2 linked regions of the Arabidopsis thaliana genome follow. The protein of the gene in region 2 interacts with the protein of the main gene of each other region in a pairwise test. Each region holds a gene or a part of one and is shown on either strand. Other genes may lie near its edges.

Region 1 (3,450 bases), on a different chromosome or scaffold from region 2:
GGGTCTTTTTCATTTTGGTCAAAATATTTGGGTCTTTGTTATTCAAGTTTATGTATAATCAAAAGCCAATCGTTAATGTTGTATATTACACTAAAGCAGCTCATTTACGGTCCTTTTTTCCATATTACCCATGTGTCAAAATATAATTTGGTAATCATCGTCAGATGTGACAAGCAGATAAGTTTTCTAGTTTGCTAATGTTAATTCTGTAATCATCGTCAAATAATCAGATTCAAGTTCAACCAGAAATAAAGCATTAAACAAAAAAATCGATCTTTTATCATTTCATGGCCAAATCAATGCGGCTAGCAAATTCAGCTTATCAATTACAACCAATTCTATAAAGAACAAAAAAATCAAAAGGTGGCTCAGAAGTGCTTGAAAGGTAATCACGAGATTAAAAAATCTCAATCATGTGATAAAAGGTCATTTTTTCTTCATCATCACCACCATTTTTGTTTTCACAGAAAAACTTCAAATACAAAATTGCAAATACCGTAAAACAACAAACTCAAGGTTGATCTTAAAAGGATAACAAAAACCAGAATCTGTAAGCTTTAGCTAGCTCGAAAAGATAATTTTGACAAACAGAGATTTAAAGATTTGCAGTTCTCAATAACTTCTCAGTGTATCAGTTGTATTATATATATAGTGAACCCAGAAATTAGGGCAAACCCTCTGTTAAAAGACCAAAATAGCCCTAACAATGTTCAATTATTTCGAAAATACTCTCACAGTTTCCTTGGTGTCTCCGCCATTACTCCAAAACTTCTGCTTCTTCGAAATTTCTAAGCCTTAAAGTTTGATAATTTATCTCGAAAGACATGGTTTTTTCCGTTGCAACAAGCTCTGTTACGAACCCAAAGCTCCATCATCACCACCATCTTAGTGACTTCAACAGAAACAGAGTATCTACATCTCTCAAGATAATGAACTCGAAGAATCACACAAACCCAAGAAAGTAATGTTCCTCTCTCTTTATTTTCTCTTTGAGGAATTTTAACGAACACGTTACGTGCATTCTTCAACAATGCATAACAGAGTATACATTTTTACAGGTGTGAGTGTTTTGATCTCTACGATCAATTAATTCCATACAAGAAAGCTTGGTCATGGCAAAAAAGCATTCTCAATGAGAAAAAAGCTTTGATTGATAAAAACCAAGAGTGTTCAGATTCATTAATTATACTACAACATCCTTCTGTTTACACAATGGGAACTGGAAGCTCAGAGAATTATCTCAATTTCGACATAAAGAATGCTCCTTTCGATGTTTATAGAACAGAACGTGGTGGTGAAGTTACTTATCATGGTCCTGGTCAGGTAAAACACAATGAGTCTCCTTTGTTTTCTTCTCAAATTCATCAATATTGAAGCTAATGGTTTGTCAATGAATGTGAAATGTAGCTAGTTATGTATCCTATAATCAATCTACGGAATCACAAAATGGATCTTCATTGGTACTTAAGGAAGCTTGAGGAAGTAGTTATTCGTGTTCTTTCTTCGGCTTTCGCCATCAATGCTTCTCGTCTCGACGGTTTTACTGGAGTTTGGGTTGGTATGTTTGTTCATAATCTTCACTTCTTACTGTGGTTTGATCTGATTCTTGCTAGTGAACTAATACATATGTATTTATATAGGCAACAAAAAAATGGCGGCGATAGGTATTCGTGTGTCGAAATGGATGACATATCATGGTCTAGCTCTTAATGTTACAACAGATTTAACACCCTTTAACTCCATAGTTCCATGTGGGATAAGGAACCGTGGGGTTGGAAGCGTAAAGGGTTTGATTGAGGATGGAGAACATTATAATAAGCTTGAAGATTTGCAGTTGTTAGATATAGCTCATGAGTCGTTACTAAAGGAATTCTCTGAAGTTTTTCAGCTTCAGATGGAAAAGCAAACAGTATTCAAATTGGAATGCTGAAGGATTTTGTGGTTCTTACTTAGCTTACAAGTGATTTATGGGATGGTGGTTATGCAGGAAACCTTTTGTGGACCAGTGATTTTATTGGCAGTTTGTTAAGTTGTTTGTTTTCTTGTAGATATGTGTGTGAGAGATTTGATTTCTCTATTTCTCTCTCCAAAGAAAGCTTATCTGCTTCTTGGATTGACCACAAAGGGATGGCTCTGGAAGCTGCTTTCTCCATGAGTTTTTGCTCCTTCTCTGTCCCTAAAGCAATCTTCTGTGAGAGAGAAACTTCATCTTTTCAACGAATCACCTCGAGAGCAAAGGGAATTGCGGGTGAGAGTCAAGTTCAAAGCTCTGATGGAGTTGAGACTCAAGTCAAGGAAACTTCTCCCAAAGTATTTGATAAACTGCCTGAAAGAAATTTAGATACTTGGAGCGGTGGCAGAGAAACAGCAAGAGGACTTTCAGGTTCAGTAGTAAGAAACACTGTACGAAAAGATACTACTTTACGACATATCTCACCTTCTAGTCATTCAACAAAGGTTAGAGGAGATAAGCCAGAGATTTCAGGGGGTGAGAAGAAAGCTATTGTAGATAGAAGCAAGGCCTACGTAAAGCTGAAATCTTTAGGGAAAGAAGTGAGAGACGCAGGCTATGTACCAGAGACTAAGTATGTTCTTCACGACATTGATGAAGAAGCTAAAGAGAAAGCCTTGATGCATCATAGTGAACGGTTAGCTATTGCTTTCGGGATTATAAACACTCCTCCAGGGACGACAATAAGGGTGATGAAGAATCTGAGGATATGTGGAGATTGCCATAACTTCATAAAGATATTATCGAGTATCGAAGATAGAGAGATCATTGTAAGAGATAACAAGAGGTTCCATCATTTTAGAGATGGTAACTGCTCTTGTGGAGATTATTGGTAGACTTTTGTATTAAAAGATGTGAAATTCTACAAAGTTATACTAAACTATGGGCATAAGCCATTTATGCAACTTCCAATGCTTTTTCCTCAAACGTTTATTTATCATCGAGTATTGAAGATAGATAGATCATTGTAAGAGATAACAAGACGTTTCATCATTTTAGAGATAGTAGCTGCTCTTGTGGAGATTATCTGCCAACTCTCTAACAAACATATTTACTCAAACTTGATCTCTTTAAAAGGCATCAGTGAAATGGACAAACACTAAATAAATAGGATCACAATTATACATACAAATCATTAATCATACTCTTACTAATTCAGTTTGGCTTGCTATTTCCTGTTTCTTAATAGCCTTGTACAAGGAATATACATAAGATGCAAACCCAAGGATCCCAGCTAACAGAGCTCCTCCCTTAAACCATCCAATGTCGTCATCCATAAACCGAAACGCCAACACAACGAAAATGTTCGCTACAGGTGTCGCGGAGAAGCTGACAACATTAGAGAAAAGGGAAGAAGCCAAACACACAAGACCCACAAGCCCTAAAGACATTACTTGCCATGCAAGTGATAATCCGATAAGACTCAAAACGTAAAGTGG
Region 2 (4,372 bases):
TTCATGGATCCAAATCTTCGAAAGAACTTCCCGGAAGTAGAAGCGGCTCAGCTCGCTAGACTTGGTCTTCTCTGCACTCATGAATCCTCAAACCAAAGACCATCCATGGAAGATGTTATCCAAGAACTGAATAATCTCGCCGCGGATTATTAGTTTCCCGTTTAACATGATTCTTGCTTTTGATAGTCCAAGAATATAAAGCATACCAAGGTTTCAGACTATCACCATTCCCCTGATGTTAACTCTGTTTTAGGTTCAGTATAGGGGATCCGAAAAACTCGGTTCATGATGTAACAATCTTATCTCCTTGTAACTGTAGCTGATGTACTTAGGCTGTAAAAACAATCACTTTTCAGACGTTTTAAGTGATCTTGTGGGAAGTTTTTTTCCAGACATATCTTAGCTGCACAAAACCAACCATGTGACATTGTCTTCATGTATGCCAAGGAATTGCAGAATAGGTTTAAGCCCTTGAAAATATATTGCTGCACATTCGTTTTATCTACAATGTACTGGAAACTTCAATGCTATCTACAAAGAACTCATGGACTCTTCCATCGAGCTCAATCCAACTACAACCAGGAATTTTCTCTATCTTTCTTTCCTTCATCATCGTTCTAACTCTACGAACATCCTTCCACATTCCAAAACTAGCATACATGTTAGAGAGTAGCACATATGAGCTCGGGTTATATCCAGCCTGCAAAATAAGGTGTTTTGCGACAAGCTCTCCCGTTTCAAACTCCTTGTGGTGACTACAAGCGGTGAGAAACGTTCTCCATATGACATCATTTGGCTCAACAGGCATTTCCTCTATTAAGTTTTTGGCTAGCTCTATACTTCCGGATCTCGATAGTATGTCTACCATACAACCATAGTGTTGCAATCTTGGTTCTATCTTGTGTTTTCTCCTCATGAGCTCAAAGCAGAGAAGGCCTTCCTTTACTAACCCAGAGTGGCTGCAAGCATTTAAAACGCCAACAAAGGTGATATCGTCTGGTTTTAAAGAGAGTCTCTCAATCTGCAAGAGCATATCGAATGCAGATTCCCCTAGACCATGAATAGCGAGCCCACCAATCATAGCATTCCAGTGATCAATGCTTTTGTTTTCGATTCCCTCGAAAACCAACATGGCGTGTTGTATGCTTCCGCATTTCGAATACATATCAATGAGAGCAACACCGAGTTTTCCACCTAGATAGAATTGTTTCTCCACGATGTACAAATGCATATCTATGGCTTTGGATAATCGGCCAAGCTGAGCAATTGCAGGCAGAACTATTACCAAAGTCGTATCATCGGGTAACAAGTGACTCTCCTTTTCCATGTCACTAAATATTTCAAGAGCTTCCATGTGATACTTGTTTTGAACATAACCAGCCATCATAGAATTATATGCCACAACATCTCTATGAGGCATTTGGTCAAACAGAGTCTTAGCGTGATGAACAAAACCTAACTTTGCATACCCATCAATCATGGTAGCCCAAGTAACTACATCTCTTCTCGGCATCACATCGAATAAACCCTTAGCATCTTCGATTCTTCCGTGTTTTACATATCCATCTATCATTGAGTTCCACGAAATCAAGTCCTTCTCAGGCATATCAGCAAACAGTTTAGACGCTATGTCAACTCCATCTGATGTCTGAGCATAACCACTTATCATAGAGTTCCAAGATATCAAATTCTTCATCTCCATAGGCATCAAATCGAACAATTCACGCGCGGATACAATCAATCCACATTTGACATACCCATCAATCATGGAATTATAAGAAACAGAGTCTCTCTTCGGCATTCTATCAAACATCTGGCGTGATAAACCTAAACAACCACATTTCAGATACAAGCCAATCAAACAATTCTGTAGAAACAAATCCGACCAAAGTCCAGTTTTTTTCAAAAACCCATGAATCTGCATTCCTCCTTTTACAAAACCTAACCTCGAACACGCTTTAAGAACAAGTGACAGTGAGAATTTGTCCACGGAAACCCCATTCTCGAGCATCAAACAGAGCAAGAGCAGAGCTTGTCTCGGATCCTTTCCATGAGAGTGAGACTTGATCACGGCGTTCCATAAAAATGGATCCTCCACCTCTCCAAATGAAAACGAACATACGTGATACTCGTGGAAGACACAACGCGCGAAATCGGCGAGATACGGACGTCGAGAAGAGGCAAAAGCCAGAACAATCCTCGTAGTGAGATTTGAGTTTTTGATGATTCCCGTCTTAATCAATCGCCCGTGGATTTGGTTCACGTCATCTGAAGTTTTGCAGCTTCCAAGGACATGAATGGTGGATGAAATCGAACACTCCATGGTTGACTTGAAGACAAGCATCAGTTATTACGTTCTTCTGTTGGAGATGAACCGGATTGGGTTTATTATCATCGTTTTAACGGCTATGTGGAAGTCGCTGAGCGGATGAGTTAAACGCCGTCGTTTTTGTATCTGCCTATAAAAGGGCTCTTAAATTAAGGCCCAATAATAAATATTATAAGCCCAATCTCAATATCTGTCCAAAGATTTTCCAAACAGCAGTGAAACTGAAACATTTACCCAAAACAAAATGGAATTAACTATTAAGTCAGACTAACGTTCGAATTTAGGCTTATACAGTTATACTTCAACACAAACTAGTAGATCTTAAATTTTAAGTTGATTACATTATGACCAACATGATCTATAGGAAATAATATATGTATAGAAAAGAGAAAAACTGATAGTGATAAATAGGATATTGATAAGCAAGTAGTTGATAAGCATTGACTTCCTCCATAAGTCATAGTCAGGATGGAGTGGTACGACATATCGTACATTTTTCTCATTTATCAAATTGGTTATAGTTATATATTTTATATAATTTTAATGTATAGTTGCCATTTAAATATCGTGCGTCTTTAATATAAAACGAAAGCGCTAATTTGTCGTTTACTCAATCGTTAATCTAATTAAATCATGTCAACGTTAGCTTAAGAGTACTTTGGTAGGTATTTGGTTCTTCTACTATTTCAGCGGCCATGGTACAGGCATGTCTCGGCCTACCAATGGGTGTTATTTCCTTACACATTTTTGGGCTACACTCATGCACAAATACATCTCTATTGTATGCAGTTCGAGTAAATTTATCTGTTTAGTTATTTTTTCGTGTAATCTGATCAATAAACAGGTTATAAGATGAGAAATCAAATATATTTGTTAATAAAAATTTTATACGAATATTTTACATAAATAATCGGCTAAGTTACTTTTACTATTTTAAAAGTCTATGTGTGTGTCTGATTGGCGAATATAAACGAGTTATTAAAAATAAAGGTAGGAATGTTGTACTTTTGGTTCATTTAAAAAAAAAAAAATCATTTTCGCTCTATCTTGAATTTTGATTTTAAACTACGAAATGTATATAAAGATACATTTTTAGTTTTTTTAATAAAGATATAAAGATATATTTTCATTGATTAAACTACTAATATATACATCCAACATTCTTATATTATATATACTTATATATGTAATTTATAGATATTTTGTCGCATATCTGTTAGCTTTATATGTTACGTGCAGAATAAACAAAACTAGGCGGCGTTAAATTATGTTTGTATAGGCTTGGTGTTTCTTATATAACCTTTGATTATAGATTCGTTGGTTGGCACTATGAAAGCGAGTGTCAAAGAAAAAAGATAGTATATGAATCGCGTCATTAAGTTGAAATAACAAAGGCTTTAATCAAAAGATTGAAAATTTAGAAAAGAAAAGGAAAAAATCAAAGATTGAAGCTGACCATCTCATGTAATTATTCAAGTTGTCTCACTAAGTCCACAATGTCAGCAATCAAAAATTATCCTTTGATCTACTACAGGTATTTTTCACACGCTAGCTACCCTTCTGACGAAACTGAAATAAGTAACAAAATAAAAACATTCAACTGCTATCTATTATAACAAAACCAAATGATTCAAATATGTAATTCATGTCTAGATAAATTTTACTGTGTATATTTATGGATATTGGTTTGCATAGGTTGTGAAAAGAGCGTGGGCTAACGCAAATCGACGACATAAATTCTCGAATTTTTATTAGGATGGAATTATAAATTAGATTTTATTGATTGTAACAAAGTGTTTTTTATAAAAAAGAAGATGGTGAGGCTAAATAAGGAGTAATAAATGGAAGCAATGAGACCAATTGACACGTTGTTATTAGTGTAAGCAAATGTCAACGCTTCGTTTGTCCATTTATAAAACCTAACTACTTCTTCTTCTTCTTCTTCCCAAATCATCAAACTCCATTTCACTTTCACTATGAAGCTTGTCTGGTCGCCGGAAACTGCTTCTGACGCCTACATCGACACCGTTAAATCGGTATGCC

The links. The genes of interacting proteins can lie anywhere in the genome.
Region 1: the proteins of CRR4 (region 2) and DYW1 interact in a protein complementation assay, tested with the Arabidopsis thaliana proteins (one study listed by BioGRID).

The regions. Positions count from the first base shown.
Region 1 is NC_003070.9:17,483,541-17,486,990, forward strand, and holds DYW1 (Pentatricopeptide repeat (PPR) superfamily protein), read left to right. Parts: upstream 1-2,035; 5' UTR 2,036-2,127; coding exon 2,128-2,847; 3' UTR 2,848-2,923; downstream 2,924-3,450. Other genes in the region: AT1G47578 (Biotin/lipoate A/B protein ligase family), read left to right, coding at 825-961, 1,059-1,323, 1,408-1,558, 1,641-1,930. UniProt on the Arabidopsis thaliana protein: Plays a major role in single RNA editing events in chloroplasts.
Region 2 is NC_003071.7:18,694,314-18,698,685, forward strand, and holds CRR4 (Pentatricopeptide repeat (PPR) superfamily protein), read right to left. Parts: upstream 2,379-4,372; 5' UTR 2,345-2,378; coding exon 503-2,344; downstream 1-502. Other genes in the region: AT2G45340 (Leucine-rich repeat protein kinase family protein), read left to right, coding at 1-153; AT2G45360 (ankyrin repeat/KH domain protein (DUF1442)), read left to right, coding at 4,306-4,365. UniProt on the Arabidopsis thaliana protein: Plays a major role in chloroplast RNA editing. Acts as a site-recognition transacting factor to recruit C-deaminase. Involved in single RNA editing events.